Nothobranchius furzeri: one gene and its partners. The protein of the gene in region 3 purifies or fractionates together with the protein of the main gene of each other region. This does not show direct contact. Links are inferred from orthologs where the notes say so. Each region holds a gene or a part of one and is shown on either strand. Other genes may lie near its edges.

Region 1 (3,615 bases), on a different chromosome or scaffold from region 3:
GACTGGCTTGGTGACAGCTGATTGGATGGCGAGAGTGCTGGTCAGGTTCTGGGCAGGGAGTGGCTGAAGTGTGGCCCCGCCCACTTGCACTGGGATGAAAGTGAATCCTCCATTCTCATTGGGTATCCCTACAAAGAGGTCAGAGGTCAGCACATAGTTACAGGTCACCTGTTGTAGTTAACTCATTGTTTTGAGTCCCTTACCTTGCACAGGTATAGTCAGTGTCTGCCCGTTGTTGGCCGTGACGGTGGCGGTCGCCACTACAGTCTGCCCCGCCGGAATGGTGGCAATGAGGCTCGGCTTTGTGACGCTGCTCGGTGGTGTTCTTGTGGCGCTGGTCTCACCCTCCGTCGGGTCAACAAACAGACGGCGACGAAATCCACCTGTGGGGGGGGAGCCATACCGGTCCTGCAGGGTGGTGGGGGAGGGGGACACGCCTTCAGAAGACGGAGGGGCAAATTATTTCTACACAGAAACACAAAAGAGTAAGACAAGATGGCTGACAAATCACCTGTGATGGTGCTGTTGGTGCTGAGGTCTGGTCCCTGTGAGGCTGGAGTGAGGGCAATGCCAGCCCCACCGCTGTCTTCATTCTGTTCCAGGTACTGAGGAGGCATCACCTGAAACGCAGACGCACACACACGTGCACACACACACACACACACACACACACACACACACACACACACACACACACACACACACACACTGATTGACCCACAGAACTTTCAGAACCACTGAATTTTATTTGTGAGCAGCCTAAAGCCTCCTCATATCTCTGAGACTTTGGTAAACAAAAGGTTCTGAATGTTTCCAACATCATCTGTTCAGTAAGAAGATGACATCATCTCTACAGGTGAAGTAGAACCAGGTGCTGTTTGTGTTCTCATGGACCTCCTGGCAGGTCGGGACTTGGGCTGACTGGAGACTGTGCCACAGCGGGGAGTTGCTGGTCCAAGCCAGGCTCTCCAGAACCTGCTCCTCCACCTGGTTCAGGTGCTTCACGACCTCCCGAAACAGACCCTGTTCCGACCGGACCAGCACCTCAATCACCTGCACACACACACACACACACACACACACACACACACACACACACACACACACACACACACACACACACACACACACACACACACACACACACACACACACACACACACACACACACAGTAAACGTGAGTTTTTATGAGTATTAGTTCGTTCATCAGATGATGAAATAGTTGTTATTATTATTATTATTATTATTATTACAGTTGTTATTACAATTATTGTTGTTTATATTATTGTTGTCTTGAGCAGTGTCTGGCAGATGCTGCTGACTAGTGCCGATAGCTGAGATGAAGCTCAGCATGCTGCTTCCTGATTGGCTAATCTGGACTCAGTCTGAGAACGGGTCGGGCCAGCTGGTACCTTATAGAAGTGGTAAGCAGGAAGCTGGAAGGTGTGGATGACTCTGGGGAAGTCTCCTGGAGGTCTGTAGGAGAAGGTAACGATCTCCAGGCAGCAGGCCAGCAGGGAGCGGTGGAACACGTCCTGCTCCAGAATACACTGCAGAACCAACAGGGGGTATGGTTCAGTGCAGTCACAGCTGGTAACCATCACACACAGAACCTCCCCGGTCCAGACCAGACGCCCTGGGTCAGGAGTCCAGACCTTGAGACCAGAACTGTACTCACAGACAGGTCAGCGTCTCCCAGGATCATCTTTTCTCTCTCAACGATGGACTCCAGGATCCTGTAGTACAGCGCCTCGCTCAGGTGGAAGAACTTGACGGCCATGTCTGCTGGACAACACATGGTCAGGTGGGACAGCAGATCAGCTGATCACTGGGCTCAGGTCCTCACCTTTTTCCATCCCCTTGCTGTCATCAGTGCTGTCCTCATGATGCTGTGTGAAGATGTCTAACATGTCCTTCAGGCGCTGACTGATGACATCACTGGGGTCTCTGGAACAGCCCCTGGAACCGAAACAGCCGCACTCCAGACTTCCAGTCAATGTAAATTGTTAAAGGTCAGAGGTCAGGCTTAGTCTATCAGAACTGGACCTCACCAGAACCTTAAACCGGCTTCACCAAACCAAACCTGGAAAAGCAGCAAGTTCACCCTAAGGTCAAAGGTCAACACTCAGTTTCAGGGAGGCTAAAGGTCACAGCAGCTCAGATTGGTAGCATTTTACCTGAACAAACCACGGAGACACCAAGGTGGATGTGTTTACCCACAATGCACTGCAGCAGAGACAGCTGTTCCCAGCTGTCAGCACGGTCAGTGGTGGAGCTGACCTCTGACCTTTAGGCTTTACAGAATGGATGCCTAACCTCTGCACCACTGTAACACCTGTGCACATCCTCAGAAAAAGTCCCACAAGATAAAACGTGGCTTACTCATCAGGCACACTCCCTCACCGGTGCCGAGCTGGCCGTAATCCACAAGAATCCACAAGTTAGAACCTAAACGGACCTGATATCTGACCGAACTGTGCTCTAAGTCTAGACTCTGGACCTCTCTCCCCCTGAGCCTGAGATCAGTGGACTCAATGGTCTCCTTTAAAAAGCAGCTGAAGACTCACTTGTTCAAGCTGGCTTTTGTATGACCTTCTTCACCACTCTCTCTTTATTCTGCTCTCCCCACCTATTCCACCTTCCTCAGGATCCACTGATTTCCCTCTTTCCTATTCACTCTCTCTCTTTCTTAACATTTTTTTTAATTACAATTGCCTATTTTTGCTCATTTTAATATATTTTTAAACATTTTCTAAATGCTTTTTTATATTTTTACATATTTTGTTTTTGTGAAGCGCCTCGTGATTTTTATCTTGAGAGGCGCTATAGAAATATTTTCTTCTTCTTCTTCTTCTTCTTCTTCTTCTAAGTGCAGCCCTGAGACTAAAACCTGAAGCTAACAGGTTAGCTAAAGGCTGATTCAGCACGCCCATGACTGGTTGGACGGACGGATTTCCCCGCATGCCGCGCTCTTTCTGACATGTTTAAAATGTAACTAACTTATCGGCTGTATCTGACACTGTCAACCACGGCTTCCTTTGGTCCGCACTCTCTAGCATGGGCATCGCAGGGAAAGCACACTCCTGGCTTGAATCGTACCTGAAAGGACGATCTTTCAGTGCATCTTGGCTCGGACAATTTCTGCTGTTCACCATCTTGCCACAGGAGTCCCCCAGGGCTCTGTACTAGGACCTCTTCTCTTTGCCATATACACCACCTCACTAGGTGAGATCATTCAATCACATGGCTTCTCCTACCACTGCTATGCTGATGACACCCAGCTCTACCGGCCATTCCCGCTGGACGACCACAGAGTCTCTGAACGAATCTCAGACTCTGACATATCAAGATGGGTGAAATCCCACCATCTCCAACTCAACCTCTCTTACACTGAATTACTTGTCATGCCAGCGAAACCATCCATACGGCACAATATCTCCAAAGTGATTCCCTTTAGACATGGTGGGGTGGGAGTAATGAGGTTAGCGGATCAGAACCTGACACCTGAGGGTTCTCTTAGTCCGGTCAGAACCCATACCTGAGGATCTGTGTCAACTTGGAGCTTGGCCCATATCTGGTTCCTGACAGCAGAGTGTGAAGGCGCCCAACACTCT
Region 2 (4,048 bases), on a different chromosome or scaffold from region 3:
GAATACCAGTTATAGGACTGACGGACAGAAAGGTGAAATCCTGCACATTAGCTTTTGCACGAGTCAAAAGATGACACAAATAATGCACTCACAAGTGTTCAGCATAAATAGGCTAATAAAGCTTCAGATACTCTTAACACAAAATGGAATTTTTTTTAAATTTACTTAGCAAAAAAAAAAAAATGCTTTTATCATGTTTTCAGGGACCCGCTTTACCTTGTTGTAGTTCTTTGCCAGCTCCAGCATCTCCTTAACAATTGTCTCGTTGAGCTTGCAGTGCTCGCTGTAGTCCTGCAGAGTCAGGCCCTCCATCCAGCTCTTCTTATGCAAGTTCAACAGCATCTGAGTTATTAGGAAGATCAGGAACAGTTTAAAAAAACTTGAAAAAAAAAAAAAGGAAATCTCTGGTGATGTAGGATTCCGACCTTTTGCTCCAGCTCATTTTTTCTGTAATTGATGGTGATAGAGTAGTAGTGTCTGTTAAGTCCATGAATCAGTGCCTAAACATCAGGAGAATCCAATAGATCAGTGCATAAAAATGAGGGAAAATTGCGATGTTGTCACGGTTATCTCTAGTTATGGATCTTGAGCAACAAAATGGTTGAATGAAGTCACCTGGATTGATGGCTTGTTCAGATGACCCAGGTTGGATGTGGTTTGCCGTGGTTCATGACCCAATACCATCATGTTGGCATTGATCAATCTGAACGCATCAATAACGACCTGAGCAGAAAATAAAAAGACTTCATCACTCAACGTACATAACATAATCTGAGCTGTACAGATGATAGCGAGTCTCCTGCAGCAGACCTTTCCTTTGACGCTCTGAATCGGATCAACCACCACGGCCACAGCTCGCTCCGACAGCGCCTCAAAGCTCTGCTGAGTGTTGATGTCCACGCCTGACAACCAGCAGCCAAACCCAGGGTGACTGTGGTACCAACCCACAACCATCTCTGGTCTAAAATAAAACAAAAAAAACAAGTGTGCTTAAGGGAAACAACAGTTTAACAAGCCTTGTTTGCTGTTAAATGGTTCTGGATTTCCTTAAAGAAGTTAATGTCTTAGGAAGGACCTGTGATTTTTTAAATTGTTGGTCTGTTAAAAAACAAATAGAAAAAGCAGGAAGATCGGTCTTTAAAAGGCCTGAAAATTGTTCCACATCACCTGCCAGTCTGCTTCAGCATGTCCAACATCTTGGCCTGGAATACAGGATCCACTGCCTCCACGCTTACGCCCTGTGAAAGTTATTTTAACATGAAGAGAAGCAAAACGTAGCTAAAAAGCCAAGTGCGAAGGAGTTGTGCCCCAACTTTTAACAATTAAAATACCAAAATATGTGACCAAGAAGACGGCAAACTGTTTTTTATAGTATTTATTCAGAACACATACAATGTGAGACAGGGGAGAATACATACCGTTCCTGATTGAGGCATGGCAAACACATCGATCACTCGCACTGTGTAGTCATCGACAAACTCTCCAAGCATCAATCCCATGACTTCCATTGGTACACCTGCACGTCCGTGCTTCAACATCTATTAAAAAGAAAACAAAATGACAGTTTAGGGAAATGATAATATTTCAGATGTATCACAGTTCAGGTGTTGATGATGCATGAATACCTTTAGCAATGCCAGAGAGGAGATGTACACCTGTTCTGCTGTGTCCACAGCTGGTGCATCTGTAGGGGGTCCCTGAAAAATCAAATAAGATGTTAAGTTCTCGGGCTTCTTAGCTCCATACAGTTTTGTTTGATAATAGATTACAAGATGCTGTGATTGCCCTAACCTTTGTGTGAGAGAGTGGACAAAATTGTGCCTTTAACTTAGAACAAATTAAGTCAATAAACTTATAGTCTAAACATTGAGTTATTGCTATGATCAAAGACTACATCAGTGACAGTGTAGTGTTAATAAGTAGATTTTTAATTAGCTCACAATTCACCAAAGATTTTAGTGTTTTTTAATCAAACAAAATAAACAATTACCTGGCCAAGTCCCGGCATTCCACCTCCAAGTCTCAGGAGCCGATCCATGTCGAGATCTACAAACCAAAGCACACAGAGAAATCCTGACCAATAAAATCCAGGAGCTAAATAGAGAACCATACATCTGCTCTGATTTAGATCTTCATGCTGGGACCTCAAAAACTATATGAACACATAAGCGCCAAATGCAGAATCAAAAATAAACAAATACTTCCGGTTAGAAATTTTAGGATTTCAATTACTTCTATTGATTATATTTCACAGGTAATATATTTTCTCTTTAAAAAAACAGATTAGAAATAGTTAGAATGCAGTTTCTAAAAAAACTCATTCCGATTTAAATTAAGTTTGTAGTTATATGTTGAACTCATGTCTGAATTGATCAATTGCGTGTTCATAGAGGCAGTTTAGCTGTTTCACAATTAAGGCTAATTTAGTTTCAACTAGGCTATGGCTCACAAAATAGCTCATTTGTCACGGAACTTAAAGACATCATATTGAGCACCAGATCGCTTAAAAATCGGGAATTCTCCGTTCAGTTACAATACTTTTTACTAGTTTATCCTCAAAATAAAAATGTAGTTTCAATGTTCAAATAAACATCGATAGAACAGCGCAACAACGTTACCGCTAGCACGGACATGCTAACTATTTAGCCTGTCCCGTTTGAAACAAATAACTAAAAACGTAATTACGGACTCTGGATCCATCTAATCACATTTAAAGACAGCTTCTCGCTTTCTCAGACATGTGTGTCTACGTACCTTCTGTTCAATGTTACGTGTGTTCAGAGTAGTATGCTTTATGCGTGCAATGACATAGAACGAGCAGGCTACAATGAATCAGCCAGAATCTGCTTTCTGTTTTTTTTCTCAGAACTACTTCCGTCGCACACTAAATGACGTAATTTATTTCTGCTTTTTTTACACTAACCGTTAGATGGCGGTGTGTTCATCATTTAGTCTGCCCATAATGGGCATTTTTGATAGCCTAGTGAACTCGACCAAATTCTTGCCTTACTATTTAAATATTATATTTATTTAGTCTTGCTAGCCAGGCTATATTTGTAAAGAAAATTAATGGTTTTGACTGATTTTACAAGCGCACCAACGCGTAAAACAATATTATATGTGAGCATTGCTTAATTTAATGTTTATTTAAAGATAACATGAAGCCTGTTGATTTTTTTGTTTACAATTAACAAAGAAAATAGAGAAAATTCCTTGAAATTTGAAAAAATTTAATTGCTGTTTGTTTGTTTGTTTGTTTGTTTGTTTGTTTGTTTGTTCACTGGTAAAATGTATTCAACATTTTGGAAATACAACAAACAGCACAATCCAAACTAAAGCAAAATGCACCATTTAACATTTTCCTGTGGAGCCACAAACTCCAGTGAAGCCATATCACCTCTGGACTTTCACAAGAACTCCTCCGTGTATCTTTATCTTGACTGCTTGGGGAGTGGAGCATCAGCCACCCGCCCAGATGTGGCCCTGCTGCGGTGCCGAGCTTGTAGCTGGCATCCTGAGGTCAACAAGGAGAATTCTGAATTCCTTGAGTTTTTGGTGGATGTGTAAGCAGCACATAATCATCCACATTCCTTTGTCCCTTCCTTTTCAAGCGTGCAGGACACCCCCCACCCCCCTTCGCTCACACCTGAATAAACTCTAAGACAATCAGCTTTCTTAACCAGGATGTCCTTCCCTATAATTACTTGAGCTTTATTATGTGACTTTAAAAATCCAAATTTAATTTAATACAAAAGTAATTAGATCAGGATATCTTAATAGAATGTTAAGATGTAAAGAGAAAGTGAAGTAAAGTAATAAAACCCTTGACAGAGTCCCCCTTGAATAAACATACGTAAGTAATAAAAGAGCACCTCTGTTAACCTGTTGGTTATCTGATAGTGCATGAAGATACTCCAAACACATCATTGATTTCTAAAATGCTGCTTATTTAAAGTGACATGTCTGTTGCCAGCAGAGTTCATTCATTGGATTTATCAGTCTGCTTTAACACAGTTAACAGCATCTGCGGCTGATTGCTCAAATAGGA
Region 3 (4,385 bases):
ACTGGCGCTTTAGCTCACCTAGTAAGACGTCTGACTCTCGTGCAGAAGATCTGGGTTTGATTCTGGATGTGAACATAGTATAATTAGAGTTTACTTTTTACATTAATGGTATATTTTTTACAGTAAGATGCCCAAATTTTTATTTGAGACTCGCCGAACGGCATTTGAAGTCACAGAAAACCAAAAACGTTTCATTTTGGAACAATTTTTCAAGCAAGGGAAGGGAATGATCTGAGCATGCAGGAGGACTGACCCATCTTAAACCTTTGTCGGCTGTGCTGAAGAGAAAGGTACAGAACCAAATTATTTAATTAATTAGCTGCGCGTTCTCCTGTCCTCTGTCCTCCGGGCTACACACACACACACACACACACACACACACACACACACACACGGGACTGTCTCAGCTGTTACTTTCGTTAAGGAGTGTGCACGTACAGCATGCGCGCCTCGTGCACGAGCCTACTATTAAAGCTGCTGTTACGTTTTTGGCCTGAGGGGGCAATCATGAGCATAAAAATTCACAAGTCCGTAAAGTCCCTTTAAGGCTCGTCGTCGCTGTACTTTACTTTCATTCTAAAGAAAAGCACAGTTCCTTAAATTTGAAAAATCCACTATACTAAAACTCAAAAGTGCGTTTGTGGGTGCATACCTCTGGGAGGAGCAGGCGTAGAAGGCGGAGCTTGACCCGTGGGAGGTTGGGTGGTGCTGATGTACTGATGGTCACTATCCAGGTCCAACTTCCTCTTTACCTGAAGATGGAAGCATGGAATACGTTATATTTGTGTGTTACCTAAAGATGCACGGAGTCAGAACGACATCCTGTGGTCAAATCTGGGTACTGCAGTCCGTGAATCAAAACAAACGAGTCTGTTCTGAGCCACTGTTGCCAGTTACGGCACGGCACCAGAAGATTCTAGATGATGAGCAAAGACGAGTCATACGCGGTAATTTGACGAGTAGATAAATATATTTTGCTGTAGTATCGAAGTTTGCTTGTAATCCACCGTTAGCATTGTTAGCTCAATGTTAGCCTCTGCATTAAGAACACAACAAAAAGAGGCCGTGGCTTCTTCGGGGTTACATGAAATAACGTCGCTCTTTTTACTGACTTCCATTTTGTTCCACAACGCCGCAGCATCATGCCGGCCGATGTCAAATTACAAATGTCGGTGCAGACTTGGCAAACCTGCGGGCACGTATGATTGGCTCTGGAACCAGGAAGTACTGAATTGGGACAGATTGTAAACAAAGACTACCTTCCTCTTTGGTTTTTAAGTTAAACTAGGAAACCTGACGACCCCATAGCCGGCTGAGAAGGAAATCTGTTTTTAACGTAACCGTTCTTCCAATACCACTCAGATGTTAGACTGTTATGGGATTATTTCACAGTAAAATTATTGTTGCACCTTGAAGAAAATGCTTAAAAAGCAAAATATGACATGAAACTTCTCATTTAACCTCATCTCACTCCCACTCTCCTCACCGGAGGTCTTCCCAGAGCTGGCCGCCTCTTGTCCTGGGCCCCCACGTCAGCGGGCCCCTGTGGCGTGGCGAACAGCAGGATTTCCCCCGTGCTGGTCGGGGCTGCAACAGGGTGGAGTCCCTCATTGCTGGGGCTGGTGATGATGACTACCTGATGGTCCTCGCCCAGTTTTATACTCCCAGAGTTCAGCAAGGTCTCAAAGTCAACCAACAGATCCTCCGATGTCTGCCCTGTTATCAGAGTCTCTGACATTGCACTGGGTCACCAAGTGCTCCTTCACTAGTCTTTGGGTGTGCTGGGAGGGGTCACAGGCTAAGATGGTGTACTCTAAAAGCACATCAGCACCTGCTGACATTTGTAGTTCTCTGTAAATTCGTGGAGCAGGAGTAAAAAATGCTCAAACGTCCCAAATTGGAACAAGTTGTTTTCCTCACAGACAAACATTTATTACAGTTTAACTCAAAGAGTGATAAATAAACAGAACTTGCCAAATCAACTTCAGACCGAACGGAGAAACTGGATGTTCTGCCAAACAGGAAAATGACAGATCATTGCTAAATTGCACAATATCTCTACGCCATGAGGGTCTAACGCGGGATTAGCACCTAAAACAGGGTCGCGAGACCCTGCCGCGGGTCTGAATAAACGCTAAACATAAGGACGCCAGCGACGGAGCGAGCAAATCTTTTGTTTTCGTGCCTCCTGTCAGCAGAGTTCGGCCGCGGCCTGAACACACAGCTACCGACACGGCTAGCAGGCTAACTCATGGCTCAACAACAAAGCCTCGGAATAGTTCTCGAAGGAGGCGCGGAACGAGCCGTTCCCAGCCGTAAAACTACCACAATCACCAAACATCCGAAACTGGGACAACGGTTAAGCTACGGAAACTTTAAATCAGCTTTTCAAAGTTAGCTAACAAAGCAAAATACAGAGAAGTCGAACGGCATCGCCGTGACTCAAAAGCATCATTGATTGGGTATTTATGAAAACGTCTGGCTAACAAAGACCTTATAACAGTTACTATGTTGAGTGTGGAAATGTAGGGCAGATTAGCATGTTAGCTTTAGTCATTAGCCGCAGTTCTTCAGTCCCCTCGTTTTGTTGGGGCACTGCAGGAAGCAGTCAGACAAAACTGGAATTAAAAAAACGAAACAAAACGGTCAAAGTACAAACGCATGCTTTAAAACCGCCGCCGATGCACTTTCAGCTGCTCACCAGGGCTGCGGTTCTCTCATGAAAGTGTCCACCCGAGCCCGATATCAGCCGTTATTGTTGTTATTGTCCCAGCTGATCTACATCTAAACAAGCGTTGGTCGGTTTTCGCGCGAAATCCATTTTGCCGCGAAAGTTGCACGTGGGGAAATCTGACGCTCGCCATTGGCCAAAAAGATGCACATTCTTCGAAGAGAAACCGGAGCTTTCTGATTGGTGTAAATGAGTGTCCGTCATGTAGACGAGCACAGACTAGTCGATATGAAGATGCGTTCAGGTTCCACGGAAGAACCTCAACTAACTAGCGTTTACAATCATTTCGCTTAGATCAAAATCAACATATCAATGATACATTGATCTGATGTCACATATTAAACATTTAATAACATATATTAGTTATTGAAAAGCCGTGACCGAACTTACAAATTAAAGTCCTTACGTGACTTGTATTTTATTTTGCATGCTATTTAAAACATTTGATGTTTTAGCTATTTTGTTTTAAGACTGTCAGGAATGTCCACATCATATTATAAACAGTTTATGCAGCTCTCTATTGAACAGTATATTTTTTCAAACACGAATTATTCGTAAAAATCTCGTCGAATTTACAGAATAGAAATGTCCTTTAGGTAGCAGCCCTTGCTAATCGAGCGCCTATCTCTCAGAAATCTGCAAGATGGCGCAGGCAATATTCGAGGTGCTTGAAGGTAGCAATATTTTTGTTAACTACATAGCTACCAACATGTTTACATGTCAGAAAATATTTTTTATAGATAAACATGTTTAGAGCCATTTTAAAATGTGGAAATAATTGTGAAACTATGCATAGGTGTTTACTAATGTTACAAAAATCAAACCACCCTGCTAGGTTGGTATGTACATGTAAACAATAACGGTGATTAATTACACTACGTATGTTTAATAGGTAGTTGATTATTATTGTGCTACTAGATTATCAAGCAGAGCTTTTAAATGTAAACACGTGCATTGTTTCCTCCCCCCTCTGTTGTTTCACTCTCTCTAGGCATGGACAACCAGACTGTGTTGGCTGTTCAGTCTCTGCTTGATGGCCAGTCTGGAGTTCCTGACCCAAATAATCAAAATGTGTCAACCACGCCCACTATTCAGTCTATGGGTAAGCAGTAGGACGCACTAGCATATAAGTTAGGCTGTCATTGCTTTCTTTTATAATTTATTTAGGGCAAGGTGCATTTGGCTGTTGGTTAAAATAAAAATAATGACAACAACCACTTTAATAATAATAATAATAATAATAATAATAATACAATTCGAGGTTCCTTTTTAATAAAAGAAAAAGGGGAAATAGCAAAGGTAAAAAAAACGTAATAAAAGCAGGGACAAAAATGCAGCTGGACACAAAATGGATTTTTTAAAAGATGAGCTTTTAAAAATGATTGAAGAGTAGAAACGGGTCGATGATGCCCATTTCATGAGGAAGAAAATCAGAGGGGAGCATGGAAAGGTAGAACTGGATGTCGTCTTTGTAGCAGAGGAAATCGATATTAAAGCAACACGTTCCTGCTTCTGCTTCCTACTGGCTGAAATGGTAAATGGCCTGTATTTGATATAGCACCTTCTAGAGTCCTGGAACCCCCCAAGGTGCTTTACAACACAATCAGTCATTCACCCATTCACACACACATTCACACACTGGTGGGGATGAGCT
Region 4 (3,615 bases), on a different chromosome or scaffold from region 3:
TCAGAGATAAAATTTCAGATTTTAGAATTTTTTCAAAAGTTTTCATCACAAGTGATGTGAGTGCTACTGGTCTAAAGTCAGACAGTTCCTTTGAAGTACTTGATTTAGGGATTGGGATTATAGTCGAAGTTTTCCACAAAGATGGAATCTGACCCACATCCACACATGTTTGAAACAATCTGCTAAAAACACCACTCAACTGGTTGGCACAGTGATGCAGGGTACGCCCACAGATGGCGTCGGGGCCCCTTGCTTTCCCCACCTTTACCTTTTTAAGTAAGATGGTGACCTGGTCTAGTGAAATTACAAATCCCTCACTAGGTTTGAGGGCTTCCTTGCAGACCCCAACCTTTCCAATAAGGTCCCCCCTCTCAAACCGACTAAAAAATGAATTAAAAACATCTGGCAGGACAGAGTCAGGCACTCCTTTTACATTGATAAGTTTCTTATCCTCTTTTTGGTGATTACAAGAAGCCATACATTTTATACCCTTCCAGGCTGCCTTAAGGTCACCACCGCTATACATATCTTCTATTTTGTCCTTGTATTTTAGTTTAGCTTTCCTGATCTCATCTCGTACTTCTCTAGATATTGCTTTTTTCTCAAGGTGGTTGCCACCAGAGGAATAAACCACTTTCTTTTTGTTGATGATTGATTTAAGCTCTTTGTTTACCCATGGCCTATTATTTGGATAAATAACAACAGTCTTTGAGTGAACCAAAGAGTCCACACAGAAAGTAATATAAGATGAGACTGTGTCGCACAACTCGTTAATATCCCCAGATGAGTTAAAGAAGCAGTCCCAATCAGTACACTCAAAACACGCTTGGAGTGCTGAAATGTTATCTTCTGACCAGCACTTCACTGATTTCACCTCCCGTGGTAGCCTCTTGAACACAGGAATATAGCGGGGTATAAGATGCTTTAGGTGGCTATTGCATTTCTTTTTATGAAAACACACTTCCAGTGGAATCTGCTGATTTCAGGTTCTTGTCGATGCTGGAGGAGGAAATCTACGGTGAGAATTCGCCCATTTGGGAGGCAGATTTCACCATTCCTGCTTCGGACGGCTCTCAGATGGGACCTCAGACAGGTGAGGCAGGTGTGCAGCGGCTGGTGGAGACATGGAGTTTGGTGTTTGTTGAGAACTGGTACTTTAGCATCAGGTCTGTCTGGCCTTGAAATGCCTCACAAAAGATGCCATCACTGCTGTTGTCGTGGTTACAAGTGGCCTGCAATTGATGATGTTTGTGATTGCAGTGATGAGTCCAGCGTCGGTCTCTGGGTCTGCTGCTTTGTCCAAATGTCTGAGCAGCAGCTCGTCTCTAGGCAGCGTGGACACAGGAGGCGTCGAGTCCATCATAGGTCAGCTCGCCAACATCTTCACTCTGAATCACACTCGACCTTCGGGTGTCTCAGTCACTCAGGTGTCAGTTCAGAGGATTGTGTATCACATACATCCAGTCTGACCTAATTACATGGAGAACCTCAAAGGGCCATTTTGGTAAATGTTTCTGCTTAAACGTTAAACTTGCTGTAATTAGCCTCCCTCACTTTCGAATTACACACTTTTTACAATCATGAGTGTCACTAGGAGCTGCAAAATGGAGAACTCCTGTTGCATCCATGGGTCAAAACCTTTCTGCAGAACTGATGCAGTGTGAAACTGAGTGTTATAAAGTCACTCTTTTCATGTAAATATGGAACTTCTGCTGGATTGATCCTATTATTTTGATGAGAGAATTATTTCCCTCTCTCCAGGGGAAAAGCGCAAACTTCCAGAGGCGTTGACTCTAGAAGATGCCAAGCGGATCCGTGTGATGGGAGACATTCCCATGGAGCTGGTTAATGAAGTCATGATGACAATCACAGATCCTGCTGCTATGCTCGGACCAGAGGTCAGCCTTCACCGCCAGTCAGGAGGGCAATGATGTTTTGAGCTGCAACTGAAGCCTGGAAGTTCGGATGTTGTCTCTCTGCAGTCTGATGGCACACCGTCAGTCCTGCAGCAGAGAGAGACACAGTGGGGGGACAGGACAAAATCAGCATTTTGATATATCGGCTATATCGATATGTTTGCATATATTTACAGTTGTTATTAGGGCCGGGACTTTAATGTGTTAATTATGATTAATTAATTAGAAAAAAATGACGCATTAAAAAAATTAACGCTTTTAATCGCAGCTTGCATTTCGAGAAAGGCGGAACCTTTGTTATTGCACGATTTTCTCGTAGACCGAATATCACTGATGCACACAACAATGCACAGTGCTAATGGCTACTAAAACGGAATAAAAACAGAAAGAAGTTGCCTTGCTTGGACTGATGCAGGATTTAGGAAACCCGTCCGCCTCTTTTCTTAACTGAAAAAAAAACAAACTTCCGGACAACAACGGAGTCCGTGTCGCGGACATTTTTCAGAGATCGATAGAATAATTCTTTGCCCTAACAGTAGTTTATAAAAGTAGTCAGACAAACGAGAGGCACCTGGCTGCCGCTGGGAGAACGCTCCGTGTTCTCACTACTCTGTAAACAATCACAACGTGTCTTAAAGTTGAAAACAGAAGTTTAAGTTAAAACAGAAACGCTCTAAAAATGTGATTAATTTAGATTAATTAATTACAAAGCCTCTAATTAATTAGATTAAAATTTTTAAACGAGTCACAGCCCTAGTTTTTATACATTGGCATTGGCCGATACTTGTTGTTAGTGAAGCCGATTTAAAGTCAGGCACATCCTGGGGCAGCCTGGTGCTGAATTTAATTTAAATGTAGTTTTACGTTCATTACCATCTGCGTAACCCCGGCTTTCCACCGGAGCCGTCAGCAGCACGTTACTGCAGCAGCACGTCATAGCTGCTGATAGGAACCGCTGTGGTCAACAGAACCTTTTCCACTGGAGCCGTCAGCAGCGTGAGTCGGCCGCGTCTCAGGAGCAGCATGTCGCGGCCTTTACGCGCCAGTTCTATTTTCTACGCGCGACGCCTCTGAAACGGGTCAGGTTCAACATTTTTGGGGAAGGAAAGACAGGAAATCGGACGCGGAAATGGAGAGAAGCTCCAGAGATTTTCAGAATAAAGAACGTACTGCCTTCCGGTTGCTTTACTTTAAAAAAAAAGTTACTAACTGTGAGGCCCCGTGAGAAGTTATCACCTAGCTAGCGGTCTCCTTTGTTTTTCAGGTCCGTATTGGCGATTATAAAACGAACAGAACATAAAACACAAACATTTTGGAGCCATATTGTAGTTTTCTCCTGCTTGTTGTTGTGTTTACTGACGAAGTCACTCGTGTGACTTCGTGCTCTGTCGGTGACGGCTGCTCCCCTGCTGCTTCGCGTCTCGTGGGAAGGGCCAAGCAGCAGTTTACGCGAGCAAGACGTGCTGCTGCAGTAACATGCTGCTGACGGCTCCTGTGGAAACCCGACGTAATAAGCGCTCTACATTAACTATTTAGGTGTCTGACTTTAACACTGAGCTGTGCAGAGTTTAAACACTGATTCAGCTCTAGGAATTTTGTGCATCTACTGATGTTATAAGTGACAATTTAGCATGAAAATAAGGTGGAAAATGTCTGGTTCTGCAATATATATCGGCCATCAGCTGACCATGTTTCCTAC
Region 5 (3,615 bases), on a different chromosome or scaffold from region 3:
TAGCAGCAGGAATTTTAAGTTGGATGAGCAAAAGTTTGATGTGAGCGTACCTGAGAGTCTCCCGGGCCGTGTAACCAGAGCCGATGAGAATGGATTCATCAAAAAGTTTGTCCATACAAGGGATGAACTCTGGAAAACCCAAGAGATGTCAGAAATGATGTGTAGCGGATGACAGAAAAATAAACACTGATGTGCTTTGACGTTGGTTTGTTTCTACAGCTAGCATCTCCCTGGGCTGAAACTTGGTTTCCTCTCATGAGAGTCAGGTTCTCACTCTGGTGTTGGTGGTACTTAGAACAGGGTTACTACAAAAATAACCTTTTAGAATTAATCGGTTCTCTCCCAGAATGGAACCCGCCTCAAAGCCTTCTTGGTTTCCCCGAGTAAAAAAGTACAATAAATGTGAAACTGCCATAAACACTTGTACAAAATGCAAACAAAGACATTGCATGCCCTACGTGAGTACCAGCCCACTGTAACCCCACCTGAAAGGTTTCATGTAGTTTTAGCAGCCTGATGAGCTGCCGCCTTAAAGGAGTAGTTGACTCATTTAATCAATACTTTTGAGATCATCTCTAGTAGGAATGACGCATGGAGGCTAAACGGTTCGCACACAACAACCCTCATCCCCATCCCCCCCACGCGCCATGGCTGGAACATTTTCTAGGGGAAACACTGGATCCGTCAGGCTTATCAAATCCTAGAGTTTCACCGTCTGTTTTCTATCAGAAGCTAATGCAGGAGACAGGTGTAGGAGACTATTTCCATATTCTGCCTGCAAGAAAAGCTCAGAGTGGCCGATTATAATCAGAAACGATCACTAAAAATGTTTTAACAGTCAATCACAACTTTAAAGTTGTTATTTTTATTTAACAGCAGTTCAACACCCCCCCCCCCCCCCCACACACACACACACACACACCTCTCAGTTGAGAAAATATCTACAAAAATGCAGTTGAATGGGATTCTGAGTGACTGTGGCTCTCTGTGCTATCCTGCAGAAAGAATAAATTCACACACCAGTTTGTGGATCAGGGGTGGACCTTTAAAGCGCCCGAGCGCCAATGGCGCTAAATTTTCTCGTCGGGCGGTAAATACTTGACGACTTACCGCCCGGGTGGCGCCCAAGCTTTATTTGTCATTTACACACCGGCTTTCACCTACGTCATGGCCCCGCCCTGTAGGAAGCTGCCGTTTTCGTTTCGCGCCCGTGAACCTGCGCGCCTCTAGCCACGTACTGCACTTGTACGATTCGTGCACGTCCTGCACGATTCTAGTTATTGTCACGTGAACTATAAGTTCACTATTAAAGACGAAGTGGAACCACGCTAGAAACACACAAGCACGCAGGAAGATCGCGCCACCACAGGGATGGGATTTCTTGATGAAATCTCCGGCAAAACGCTTTAAAACTGGTGAGGAGAAGCGAGACAGTTCGAAACGGTATGAAGCAGCGAAGCGTGTGCGTAGGTGGAATGATTCTTGGAGGTTTAAAGAAGACGGGAGGCGCGGAGAATGGCCGTATTTGAGTTGAGTAGCGGCTCGCCTGGAAAACAGACGAGAGCAGACGGAAGCAGCAGGGGGAGTGGCTGAAAGCCGGCGTTTAACGCCGGGGACACACCGGCCGCGGAAGCGCCCGAAGCGAATCGCTCACGAAGTCCGGCCGCTGCTCGCCGCTCCTCAGTTCAGATCAGACGCGCCCCATTCGAGGCGCGCCTCGGCTCAGCTGTAGTTTTTCTTTTAATTACTTGGTGTCCTCCATTTCCTCAGCTCTTTTCCTCTGTGTGTGTGTGTGTGTGTGTGTGTGTGTGTGTGTGTGTGTGTGTGTGTGTGTGAGTGAGTGAGTGAGTGAGTGAGTGAGTGTGTGTGTGAGTGAGTGAGTGAGAGTGTGTGGTGTGAACCAGTTGTTTCTGCCAGTTGAATCTCTTGGACTTCCCTACATGTGTAGCTCGGGGGTGACGATGGATGAAGATATCGCGTTAGCATTCACACTTGTTCAATTTTCAATTTTAATTCTGGTGCCTGTTAGCAGCAGAAACACATCCTCACGCGCTTGTGGATATCATATATTCTATATGAAAACATGACTGTAATAATAAGTAAAGGTTATCAGCTGTTCAGTGTGCTCATAGGAAACGTGACAAAAGAACACAAAACACATTTCTCCTTATGGCCTATATAGTTGTCATCATCAACATAACATGATTTACAGAATACATGTGACCAACTAACATTTCATGTTCTACCACCGGATGTTTGGATCAAAATGTGAACCAATCAGATCTTAGATCAGGTGAGAGCCAGGCGTTTCCCATCATCCTCTAGGTTTTGCAGCCGGTAGAGAGCAACTGCAGCGCCTTGCTCCAAAATCTGCAGCCGCCTTGATCTCACGAGGTTATCGATGCCTACGTATGCATGACGTCAGAGCAAGTCAGGTCAATTCGGACACAAATCTAACCGGCATGCACCGCTCGCCGATCACTGCTGGTCTACTCTGCGCAGAACTGGCTCTTCTCGAACACAGTCAATGGCTTGAATACAGCAAAGCGGCGTTGGTGATGTACTGCGTTGTATGCCAGAAGTATGCGACGACAAAATCGTGTTTTGTTGAGGGAACAAACAAATTCAAACTTGAATACGTTATTATGTTTGTGAATGTGTACAAATTAAAGGTTTGTTACATTTAAAACGGTTCAGTTGTTATTTTGACTCGTTTTGGCGGCTGACCAGCGGGGCCGGTAGATTCTTGGCAGGGCCGGTAAATATTCAAAGCCAACCGGCCCGGCTGGCCGGTTGGCTTTGAAGTTAATGTCCACCCCTGTGGATGGATAGTTTCTTCTGTTATCACGAAAGAGCCGAGTGGCTTATTAACAAAGACTATCACTGAAAATGGTTTTGAGGAACTAAAGCACCATAACTGATAAACCAAAGTGAAGACTGCAGGATTTCAGGAACGGTAGAGCTTTTACTTTTCCAACAGTCTAACAAATAATCGAATAGATAAAAGAGCAAAAACCCAAGACGTTCAAGTTATAACCAATAATAGCAAATAATTAGGCATGTGTTTGAATACATACGGCTGCGGAGGTCAGTCGTGAGGATGTGCTTGGCCGCGATCAGCAGCTCCTTGCGAAGGTGAGCGGTCTCAGATGGACAGTTGGACAGCAGCTGCAGCATGCCCTTCACCAACTGTTGGGAGTATTTCCCAACCAGGTCCTGAACGGGGGACAAATATGTCACATATCAGTTAGAAAAAGATTTTCATCCTGGCCGTGGAACACTGGACCAGCTCTATACCCTTAGGGGGGTCCTGGAGGGTGCGTGGGAATTTGCCCAACCAGTCTACATGTGTTTTGTGGATTTGGAGAAGCTGTTCGACCGCGTCCCTCTGGGGGCCCTGTGGGGGGTACTCTGGGAGTATGGGGTACCAGGACCTCTGATACGGGCTGTTAGGTCCCTGTATGACCGGTGTCAGAGCTTGGACTGCATTGCCGGCATTAAGTCGAGCTCGTTTCCGGTGAGAGTTGGACTCTGCCAAGGCTTTGTCACAGATTCTGTTCATGACTTTTGAGGGGATCCGTTTTGGTGGCCTGAGGATCAGGTCTCTGCTTTTTG
Region 6 (4,350 bases), on a different chromosome or scaffold from region 3:
CTAGACGAGTAGAACTGTAAATGCCTACCCCAGCGCCAGTCAGCACAAGGATCTTTTTGCTTTCCTGAAGCAGCCTGACCACATCTTCCAAAGTGTTTATATCCTTCCGCTTCTTTCTCTTCGGAGGCTCTGAGATGTTGATGATGATCTGCCACAGTGTCATGTCATCTAAATCTGGAGGGAGTATAGTCTCAGGAAGCAAATCCCTTAGAATGGCTCGCGGATCGGTCTCTCTAATGTGTTGTTGGATGAAACTGTAAGAGCCTGGCCAGAAAACAAAACAACAGTCAGAAACTTCATTTTCAAACAAATCCACAAGAATTTTATCTGTCTTTAAGGCACTTTTCTTTAGGAAATGCCAGACAAATCGTCCCAGTTACCTATTTGGGGTTGAGGAGTCCAGTCGCTGGAGCTTGCATGTGAAGATCTGTCGTCTTCATCGTTGAGGTTTTCCGGTGAGGCAGCAAGGCCGTTGGAGGGCAGATCGTCATGTCCTAGAAAATCAAATAAAAAGAAAGAAGTTAGAAACTAACCTGGGCCTTCCGGTGGACGCTTAACTCATTCACTGCCAGCCGTTTCCAGATCGGTAAAGCCCTTCACTGCCAGCGTTTCTCACCGTTTTTACTGTTTTTTTAAAGAGTGACAGAACGTTGCGCGCTAGGATGATGTCGACGCCAAAACAACCAAAACAAAGCGGAGACTCAGCTCTTACATCAGGAAGAATCCGCGTGTTTCGAGCGTTATCCGTTCTTTCATAATCCGTTGTTGAATTGTGATCGGCAGAAGCTTTTTCCGTTCGCGCCTCATTTTTTTTACAGCAGCGGCCCAAAACGATCTCCTAACACATGGATGTTCTGCTTCCTGATCACGTGACGTGTGACGTATGCGGATGAAGATCGGCTTTAGAGCCGAGATGTTTGTTCTCATGGTGCGGGGGCCGCTCGTATCCACGATCTTGTTCTTTCGGTCACTACCCAAAGCTCGTGGCCATAGGTGAGGGTAGGAAAGTAGATGATCGGTAAATCGAGAGCTCTGCCTTCCAGCTCAGCTCTCTCTTCACCACGACAGATCAGTACACATCAATCTTGTCCTCCATCTTTCCCTCACCCATGAACAAGACCCTGAGATACTCAAACTCCTCTACTTGGGGCAGGACCTCATCCCTGACCCGGAGGAGGCATTCACCTTTTCACTCCCGTTTCATGCCTGAAATGCTCCCAGTTGGAAGGGAGTTCACAAGTAAAACTCCTCTATCACGTCGCATGCCGCTTACACATCCAGTGGAAAGGCTGGGTTAGAAAAACATACCCAATTCAATTCAGTTTATTTATACATCACCAAATCACAACAAGAATTGTTCTCAAGGCACTTCACCAAGTAAACATTCCAACCGAGTTCAGTTAATCATGCCAATAATTTCAAAGTTTCCAGTATAAGGGAATCCAGCGGATTGCATCGAGTCAGACTAGCGTCAGCGACTTTACAGCAAACCACTCCTACGACACATCTGAGATGCTCCACTCCACATCCAGTGGAAAAAAAACCATTGCTTATAGGTGTTTATTATCTGTGTCTTCTTACACGCTGCTTATGCATAAGGTGGAAACCAGGCACAAGACAAATTATAACAAAATGCTCAATGCAGTTAAGTGTGAGGCTGCTGTGAACAGAATGTAATGACAACAACTTTTAGTTCACATGTAATTTTCCAATTAATTACGTATAATTTTTAAATAATATATTTCAAATGAATAAAAAGTAAGCATCCACTTAAGAGTAAAATGAGTTATTGCTGTGGTACAAAGATAGCCTAGAAATCTGGCAGTAGCTCCGGGGGTAGAGCGGGTTGTCATGTAATCCTAAGGTTGCAAGTTCGAACCTGGCAGACTGCTGTTGTGTCTTTGAGCAAGACACTTAACCCACCTTGCCTGCTGATGCTTGGAGGGACTGATGACATCTGTATTCAGAGGCCTCACCTCTGTCAGTGCACCCCAGGGCAGCTGTGGCTAAATTGTAGCTTATCATCAAGGGTGTGTGAGTGGATGAATGATACACTGTAGTGTAAGGCGCTTTGGAGTCCGCCGACTCTGAAAGGCGCTATAAAAGTGCGGGTCATTTATCATTAATCATAATAGGTTTGGCATTTCATTAAGAACTAAAGTAACGCCCGTTATAATATTATTATATGCTGATGATACCGTGTATCGCAAATAATCGCGATCCAGCGCAATAAGACGGTGCACACGTTTCTGTCGTTACACCGGCTAAATGACGCTACGTTGGCTTCAAAGTTTCTTACAGTTTAAGTGATGTGGACTTTAAAACCTATGGACGCGTTTATGGTTAGAGGAAATTGCATTACACCGAAAACACACAAACCGATAGGTTTATTCCGTTTCGCTGTCACTTAAGCATCAAGTTTGCCGGTGAGCTGTAAACCAAACAGCCGCAACGTTTGTAAGCTAGTAGAGGTAAGCGTTATTCATACCTGCGACTTCTTCGGTTGAGCAAAGTACAGCACTGTCGACCAGTTTCCCAGCCGGTCTCTGTGGCTCGGAGACCGGAATTCCCCGTTCATTGTTGTCTCCGTCCCGCGCCGCTGTTGGGGCCTGCTCTACCTCCATCACCGGCTTTGCTTCCTTCTCGGAAGGCTGCGAACGTTTTATCGCCGCTTCCCGACTCTCTGTGGCTGCAAAGACGCGCGAAAGCTGGTCCGGTTCAGTGGGTTTAAGCCCATGATTAGTCGGCGTATCCATTTTTGATATTTTCGTCGCAGGTTCATCCGTTATGAAGGCGCCAGAAAAGGCCGTTCCGAGACTATTCTCTTCATCCGCCATCTTCAACCCCAGAGCCGCTGCGCAAAGCCTTCCTCTCGGACAGCTGGCTCATTTACATAGCACACGTGACTCTTTCTCGACCAATGAGGAAGAGCAAATACCTAAGACTACAACAAATTACTGCTGCCTTCAGGTGTCGTTGGGTTTCTTTGCAGTAACGCGCATAACAAAAAATAAAAGCCTAAAACGTTTGGGAAAAATGCTCAATAACTCGTATTTTTATGACTATATAATCTAACTTGCATAAATATTTTTGGTACTTACAGCACAAGACGTCAGCATGGAAATGACAGTATTAGAATAATGGCAAAGAGAAGATTCCCCTTTTTTGTAGCATTTTGCAACATAAAATATTGGTTTGGGTGAAAATAATTTTGCCCCTATTTCACTTCACAATTTATTTTTTTCCACAGTTTTTTAAGCTAGATTTCAGTAGTATTTTATGCCTCTGTAGCTGTAGTCACTGCGCTGAGATGAATTGTTACCACAACACTTTAATGCAGCATGCGTCACATGTTGAGGGAAAAGATAGCTACGTTTTACTGACTCGTATCTTCATAGATTAGAAATTTGTCAGAGTCACTTTATTTAGAACAATTTATTTGAAAAACAGTACAGGGTGAGGAAAAACAGTAAAAGCAAAACAAACTGTCCGGGCACCGAAAACCATAGAAAGTGAACAGCTGTGATAACTGCATCACACAGCTCCGATCGAAATAAACAAACGTTCTCTGATCTGATCGGATCCGATGGAGACGCTTTTGAGTTGTAAACCAGAGGACTTGGAGGATTATTACGGGTTATTAGGATGTGACGAACTGTCATCGGTAAGTTGTGGTCAGTTGACTCTCGCTATTTGCAAAACATCTATTTAGAGAGAAGATCATGCATTATAAACAAATATTGGACACGCATTGACAATAATAAACACGGATGATGTTCATTAAGTGAATCAGAACTTATTATTTGTTCATTGAACCAACCTGTTGATTCGCCACACAGTGGGTGGGGTGGTGAAAAATGTGTCTATTAATTTAGATAATTAAAAAAAAATAACTAAATCCCAACGGCTACTTAAGTGACCCAAGCAAAGACAATATAACTACTTTTTTAATGCATAAACTATCAAAAAAAGTGTACAGCATAGAGATGAAAAGAAATGTTAAAACTGTTGTCAGTGGTCACCATAGAGACCACTAATTTAACACACATTAAAGGGGCAGTTCAAATCTCCTGAAATGGGGTTCTGTGAAAAGGTGATCGATTAATTAATAATTTTGGATTGCTTTTTGAAATGTTTAAATTTTGAGAAAAAATGAATAGATTAGCTCATGTGAACAAAAGAGTTAGCTAGCCGTGGTGTGACCATTAAGAAAAGATCTTAAAACAATTCCAATCTGAAAACAATTTCTCAGAGAATGAGCCATATTAGTCACAGAGTGTTTGGTAAATAACTATGACATGTAAAATATCAGTTGCTCATACCCGGTCAGCATGCGACAACACGCCATCC
Region 7 (4,097 bases), on a different chromosome or scaffold from region 3:
AACTTTTGATTTTTTTCCTGTCCAAACTTCTGCATCACTGTAGGTCAGCTGAAGAATATACTGTTACACGTTAGCCACACTTAATGTGTTTGTCATGTTCTCTCTAACACACACACACACACACACACACACACACACACACACACACACACACACACACACACACACACACACACACACACACACACACACACACACACACACACACACACACACACACACACACACACACACAGAGAGAGAGAGAGCCTTTAGTCCAAACCTTTTTCTATCGTTCTCATGCCTTGCACTAATAATGCTCATGAATTTATGTTATAATCTCAGTCAGTGTGTTATAAATATATACATAATATAAATATATAAATAATATACTGTAAATACGGTGTTGCAGTGTAGTCTACCTTTTTATTTTTGTTTTCCCAGTGACGGGACTAATGCTTGCTAGGGATAATCAATAGAAGGTTAAAAACCATGTACAGTTAGCAGGAAAACAGCAACAATCTGGGTTTGGAGTTTTCCCCCCAACACACAAATGGTTAAGTCATAATCCGTGGTGGTCTTTATAAATATGTGTAGTAATATTAACAAAAAAAACATTGCATTTATTTAGATGTCTGCCTCATATTATTTTCTCAAAAAGAAATCTGTTACACCCAAACTTCCTGGTTTCATCCTCCTTTTTATTTTTAATGCCTTGTGTCTAAAATGTCCTCCTCCCGGGTTTTAGGAGATATAAACTGATTTAAAAATCTACATATTGGTCTGTTTAAAAATCTGTTAACAGCGTTACAGGAACAACAGAACATCTGTGACTTGGATCACTTTTGGTTTTAAGACTTCTTTGCAGGAAGACATTTAAACTGAAGCATTTTACAGAACTATTATGTAATGACCAAATAAATACTGAAATAAATTTGAGCATTCATCATTGTAATCTGGCAGTCTGTGTGTTTTTGGTATTTTTTCTCTTCTTTAAGGATATTTTGTGATGTAGGAGGATTATGCTGCTGATTTGTTATTTTATGGTGCAATACGTTTACTGTTCCCATGTAAAATTGTTGATAGTTGGTAGTTTTATAGTATAACTTTAAAAAGGTTCCAGTCAACATGATTTTCTCTAGATTTGACCTTGAATTTTGGCTCCAATTGGCTGGATTTTGTGACCTCTCCACTCAGTTGTGGTCCCGTGGGCGCCCCTAGCGGAGGAAAATGGCACCGCTGTGAGAAATTGAAAATAAGGATGAGCGCCATGTCTGATCCTCCGCTTGTGGAATAGCGCGGACGGCGGAGCCATCGTTTCCCGGGCCTGCGCTCGCTGCGGGTTTCGGGGTGAATCATGGCCGACACCGCGGGGATTCAGCAAGGTTCGCCGGCCATTGGAGCCGCGGGCCTGGTTCCGGCGGCTCCTGGAGCCGGGGGCACGGAGGGCTCCGGCGCCGCTGGAGGATCCGCACGTATCGCAGCGAAGAAGGCGCAACTCCACTCGTCACCTCGGCCGAAGAAACTGGAAAAACTCGGAGTGTATTCGTCTTGCAAAGTAGGCGTGATTTGCACGCGGGGAACTGTGAAAATACGCGTTTTGTGTGTTTAATCCAAATTAACGGTTGGTTTTGGTTGCAAGTTTTCATAATGCAGCGCAGCAAAGGAAGCCATTGCCGCACTTCAGTTTTTTTTCCCCCTTTTTAAAAAAAATAATTGCATGAACGGCACAGTTTTCTGAAAAAAATAAACGAAGATGTTTAGGATAACGTGTATTTCTAGCAGCCGAACTCTTCGGCCGGGGCCTTTTTGCTGGACGCTCTCTGGTATTTTTAGTGGTGCTGTTTCTGTCAAGGTGGGTGGTTGGTGAACGTAAACATTGGCTCGGAGCGGCTCGGGAGTCGCTGGCTGTGGGAACAGGAGCCGAGCTCGTGCGCGTGTGTCTCCTACCCTCACCAGAAGGTCCCACAGCCTCCAGACCTTCTGCTGGAGCTCGGCGGTGAGCCTACGGAGGCATTTATGGGGCTTGTGCGGCGTACGATCCGCAGAGGGTCGGTGTCTTTGTTTTGACAGGATGACAGCTGCTGGAGGGGGCGGAGTTTGTTATTGTTTCAGTGCGCATGCGCAGCAGTGACAGGCCCCCCCTACTTTGTTTGTTTTTCTAGGACACAAGGCTCCTTTTGGGTTTGAGCTAGTCCGACTAATTAAGCCAAAAATTGAGGGTGTTTTTTATTGTCTTCAGTTTTAACTTATTTCTACTGATTCAGATGCCCAAATACCTAATTCATCACATTCTAATTGTTTAAAATTCTGATTAACTTTAAAATGATTCGGAAATCAAAACATTTTCACATGTAACATATTATTCAAAGATGATGCGTTCAAAGACCAGGAAAAACGTTGGATTTCAGCTGACCGTGGTGATTATAGCTGTTTTGTTTGTTTATTTTCCACTCTGTTCCGACAGGCCGAAGGACCGTGCAAGTGTAATGGCTGGAAGAGTCAGAACCCCCCTCCTACACCTCCTCAAACGGACCAGCAGACCAACACGGTCAATCTGCAGGAGCCCTGCCGGAGCTGCTCGCACACTTTGGGTTTGTGTGCTTGTCGAACCCAACAATCCCTCTTGGTAAAAGTTATCACTCAGATTTATAATATCTTTATTTTCCCCCAGGTGATCATGTGACTCATCTTGAACATGTTTCTGAGGAGGAAATGAACAGACTTCTAGGAATTGTCCTGGATGTGGAGTATTTGTACACATGTGTCCACAAAGAAGAGGACGCGGACACTAAACAAGTCTACTTTTCCCTCTTTAAAGTAATTTCCAGCTTTATTGTTAATATTTTATCACGTATAACCTCTGCATTGTGATCAAGTAAGCTACTAATTTCCATTTGACCTTTTAGCTGTTGAGGAAGTCCATCCTACAGATGGGGAAGCCCATGTTGGAGGCACAGGAGACTCCTCCGTTTGAAAAGCCCAGCATCGAGCAGGTGAAGTAAGAGTTTGGAAGGAAAAACACATTTTCATTGACGCCGACTGATTTTTCTCTTTATTTCTGCTTGTGTACCTAAAAGGGAGTGAACAATTTTGTCCAGTACAAATTCAGCCATCTGCCATCAAAAGAACGTCAAACCATCATGGAGCTGGCTAAGATGTTTCTGAACCAGATCAACTACTGGCAGCTGGAGACGCCCTCTCAGAGACGCCAGCGGGTGCCCAATGACGATGCAGCAGGATATAAAGCTAACTACACACGGTGGGACTGAGCAGAGTTCCCTTTGACCTGCTTTCCTGGATTCTCTCGTAGTTTTATGTAAACCATTTCTGTGTGTAGATGGTTGTGTTACTGCAACGCGCCTCAGTTCTGCGACAGCCTGCCCCGCTACGAAACCACCCAGATCTTTGGCAGGACGCTATTACGCTCCGTGTTCACCGTGATGAGGAAGCAGCTGCTGGAGCAGGCCAGACAGGAGAAGGACAAGCTCCCCCCAGAGAAACGCACTCTCATTCTCACACACTTTCCCAAGTACGACACACACACACACGTGTTCACACAGAGAAATGACACAAACTCAACATTTTAAAAGCACAGCACTTAAAAAAAATGTGGTTTTCTTTGCTCAGGTTCTTGTCGATGCTGGAGGAGGAGGTCTACAGCCACAGCTCCCCGATCTGGAGCCAAGACTTCCTTGTAGGAGCTGCAGGAGGACAGATTCCCATCCACACAGGTAAAACACACCCTCACACACACACACCTGTACGCAAGTTGGAATTTTTCTTCGCTTTGTAAAAAAAACTTTTGTTTAAAATTCCCCGTGTAGTGATCAGTGCTCCCCCAGTAGTCCGGCCAATACACTACAGCACCAGTCCTGTGTCGGTGGACCCGTCCACCTGTGGTAGCGTCAGTCCTGCCAGGAAACCCGCCTCGGCTCTGGAGTCAAACCCAGGTATTAAAACTGTGATTGCACCGTGATCCGATAAAACTTCATGTCTATTTTATCGTGAGCGATTATAAAAGAGGCGAATGATGATTTTGAAGATTAAATTGTGTTTAAAGTTGGAGAAAAGCGTAAAGCATCAGAACCACTTCACCACGAAGAAAACAAGAGACC

The links.
Region 1: the proteins of e2f1 (region 3) and rbl2 purify together in Homo sapiens (affinity purification with western blotting; 3 studies listed by BioGRID and IntAct, with this or other methods). This does not show direct contact. The link is inferred for Nothobranchius furzeri from reciprocal best matches to the Homo sapiens genes E2F1 and RBL2.
Region 2: the proteins of e2f1 (region 3) and psmd14 purify together in Homo sapiens (affinity purification with western blotting; 3 studies listed by BioGRID). This does not show direct contact. The link is inferred for Nothobranchius furzeri from reciprocal best matches to the Homo sapiens genes E2F1 and PSMD14.
Region 4: the proteins of e2f1 (region 3) and kat2a purify together in Homo sapiens (affinity purification with western blotting; 4 studies listed by BioGRID and IntAct, with this or other methods). This does not show direct contact. The link is inferred for Nothobranchius furzeri from reciprocal best matches to the Homo sapiens genes E2F1 and KAT2A.
Region 5: the proteins of e2f1 (region 3) and trrap purify together in Homo sapiens (affinity purification with western blotting; 3 studies listed by BioGRID and IntAct, with this or other methods). This does not show direct contact. The link is inferred for Nothobranchius furzeri from reciprocal best matches to the Homo sapiens genes E2F1 and TRRAP.
Region 6: the proteins of e2f1 (region 3) and sirt1 purify together in Homo sapiens (affinity purification with western blotting; 3 studies listed by BioGRID and IntAct, with this or other methods). This does not show direct contact. The link is inferred for Nothobranchius furzeri from reciprocal best matches to the Homo sapiens genes E2F1 and SIRT1.
Region 7: the proteins of e2f1 (region 3) and kat2b purify together in Homo sapiens (affinity purification with western blotting; 5 studies listed by BioGRID and IntAct, with this or other methods). This does not show direct contact. The link is inferred for Nothobranchius furzeri from reciprocal best matches to the Homo sapiens genes E2F1 and KAT2B.

The regions. Positions count from the first base shown.
Region 1 is NC_091744.1:80,493,713-80,497,327, reverse strand, and holds part of rbl2 (retinoblastoma-like protein 2), read right to left. Parts: coding exon 3,540-3,615; intron 1,961-3,539; coding exon 1,848-1,960; intron 1,787-1,847; coding exon 1,680-1,786; intron 1,552-1,679; coding exon 1,414-1,551; intron 1,054-1,413; coding exon 895-1,053; intron 621-894; coding exon 512-620; intron 438-511; coding exon 204-437; intron 129-203; coding exon 1-128. UniProt on the Homo sapiens protein: Key regulator of entry into cell division. Directly involved in heterochromatin formation by maintaining overall chromatin structure and, in particular, that of constitutive heterochromatin by stabilizing histone methylation.
Region 2 is NC_091749.1:40,666,039-40,670,086, reverse strand, and holds the start of psmd14 (26S proteasome non-ATPase regulatory subunit 14), read right to left. Parts: upstream 2,887-4,048; 5' UTR 2,755-2,886; intron 2,047-2,754; 5' UTR 2,039-2,046; coding exon 1,991-2,038; intron 1,698-1,990; coding exon 1,626-1,697; intron 1,539-1,625; coding exon 1,419-1,538; intron 1,239-1,418; coding exon 1,168-1,238; intron 962-1,167; coding exon 811-961; intron 724-810; coding exon 616-723; intron 501-615; coding exon 426-500; intron 343-425; coding exon 217-342; intron 1-216.
Region 3 is NC_091755.1:51,396,237-51,400,621, reverse strand, and holds the start of e2f1 (transcription factor E2F1), read right to left. Parts: upstream 2,817-4,385; 5' UTR 2,702-2,816; intron 2,619-2,701; 5' UTR 1,739-2,618; coding exon 1,487-1,738; intron 753-1,486; coding exon 653-752; intron 1-652. Other genes in the region: znf341 (zinc finger protein 341), read left to right, coding at 3,375-3,405, 3,723-3,833. UniProt on the Homo sapiens protein: Transcription activator that binds DNA cooperatively with DP proteins through the E2 recognition site, 5'-TTTC[CG]CGC-3' found in the promoter region of a number of genes whose products are involved in cell cycle regulation or in DNA replication.
Region 4 is NC_091745.1:16,609,666-16,613,280, reverse strand, and holds part of kat2a (histone acetyltransferase KAT2A), read left to right. Parts: intron 1-986; coding exon 987-1,093; intron 1,094-1,260; coding exon 1,261-1,365; intron 1,366-1,761; coding exon 1,762-1,898; intron 1,899-3,615. UniProt on the Homo sapiens protein: Protein lysine acyltransferase that can act as a acetyltransferase, glutaryltransferase, succinyltransferase or malonyltransferase, depending on the context.
Region 5 is NC_091756.1:29,482,275-29,485,889, reverse strand, and holds part of trrap (transformation/transcription domain-associated protein), read right to left. Parts: intron 3,217-3,615; coding exon 3,078-3,216; intron 130-3,077; coding exon 51-129; intron 1-50. UniProt on the Homo sapiens protein: Adapter protein, which is found in various multiprotein chromatin complexes with histone acetyltransferase activity (HAT), which gives a specific tag for epigenetic transcription activation.
Region 6 is NC_091752.1:5,652,103-5,656,452, forward strand, and holds the start of sirt1 (NAD-dependent protein deacetylase sirtuin-1), read right to left. Parts: upstream 2,845-4,350; 5' UTR 2,838-2,844; coding exon 2,489-2,837; intron 495-2,488; coding exon 381-494; intron 265-380; coding exon 29-264; intron 1-28. Other genes in the region: dnajc12 (dnaJ homolog subfamily C member 12), read left to right, coding at 3,587-3,664. UniProt on the Homo sapiens protein: NAD-dependent protein deacetylase that links transcriptional regulation directly to intracellular energetics and participates in the coordination of several separated cellular functions such as cell cycle, response to DNA damage, metabolism, apoptosis and autophagy.
Region 7 is NC_091759.1:19,556,474-19,560,570, forward strand, and holds the start of kat2b (histone acetyltransferase KAT2B), read left to right. Parts: upstream 1-1,204; 5' UTR 1,205-1,336; coding exon 1,337-1,537; intron 1,538-2,446; coding exon 2,447-2,573; intron 2,574-2,653; coding exon 2,654-2,799; intron 2,800-2,888; coding exon 2,889-2,975; intron 2,976-3,059; coding exon 3,060-3,241; intron 3,242-3,319; coding exon 3,320-3,511; intron 3,512-3,609; coding exon 3,610-3,713; intron 3,714-3,806; coding exon 3,807-3,932; intron 3,933-4,042; coding exon 4,043-4,097. UniProt on the Homo sapiens protein: Functions as a histone acetyltransferase (HAT) to promote transcriptional activation. Has significant histone acetyltransferase activity with core histones (H3 and H4), and also with nucleosome core particles.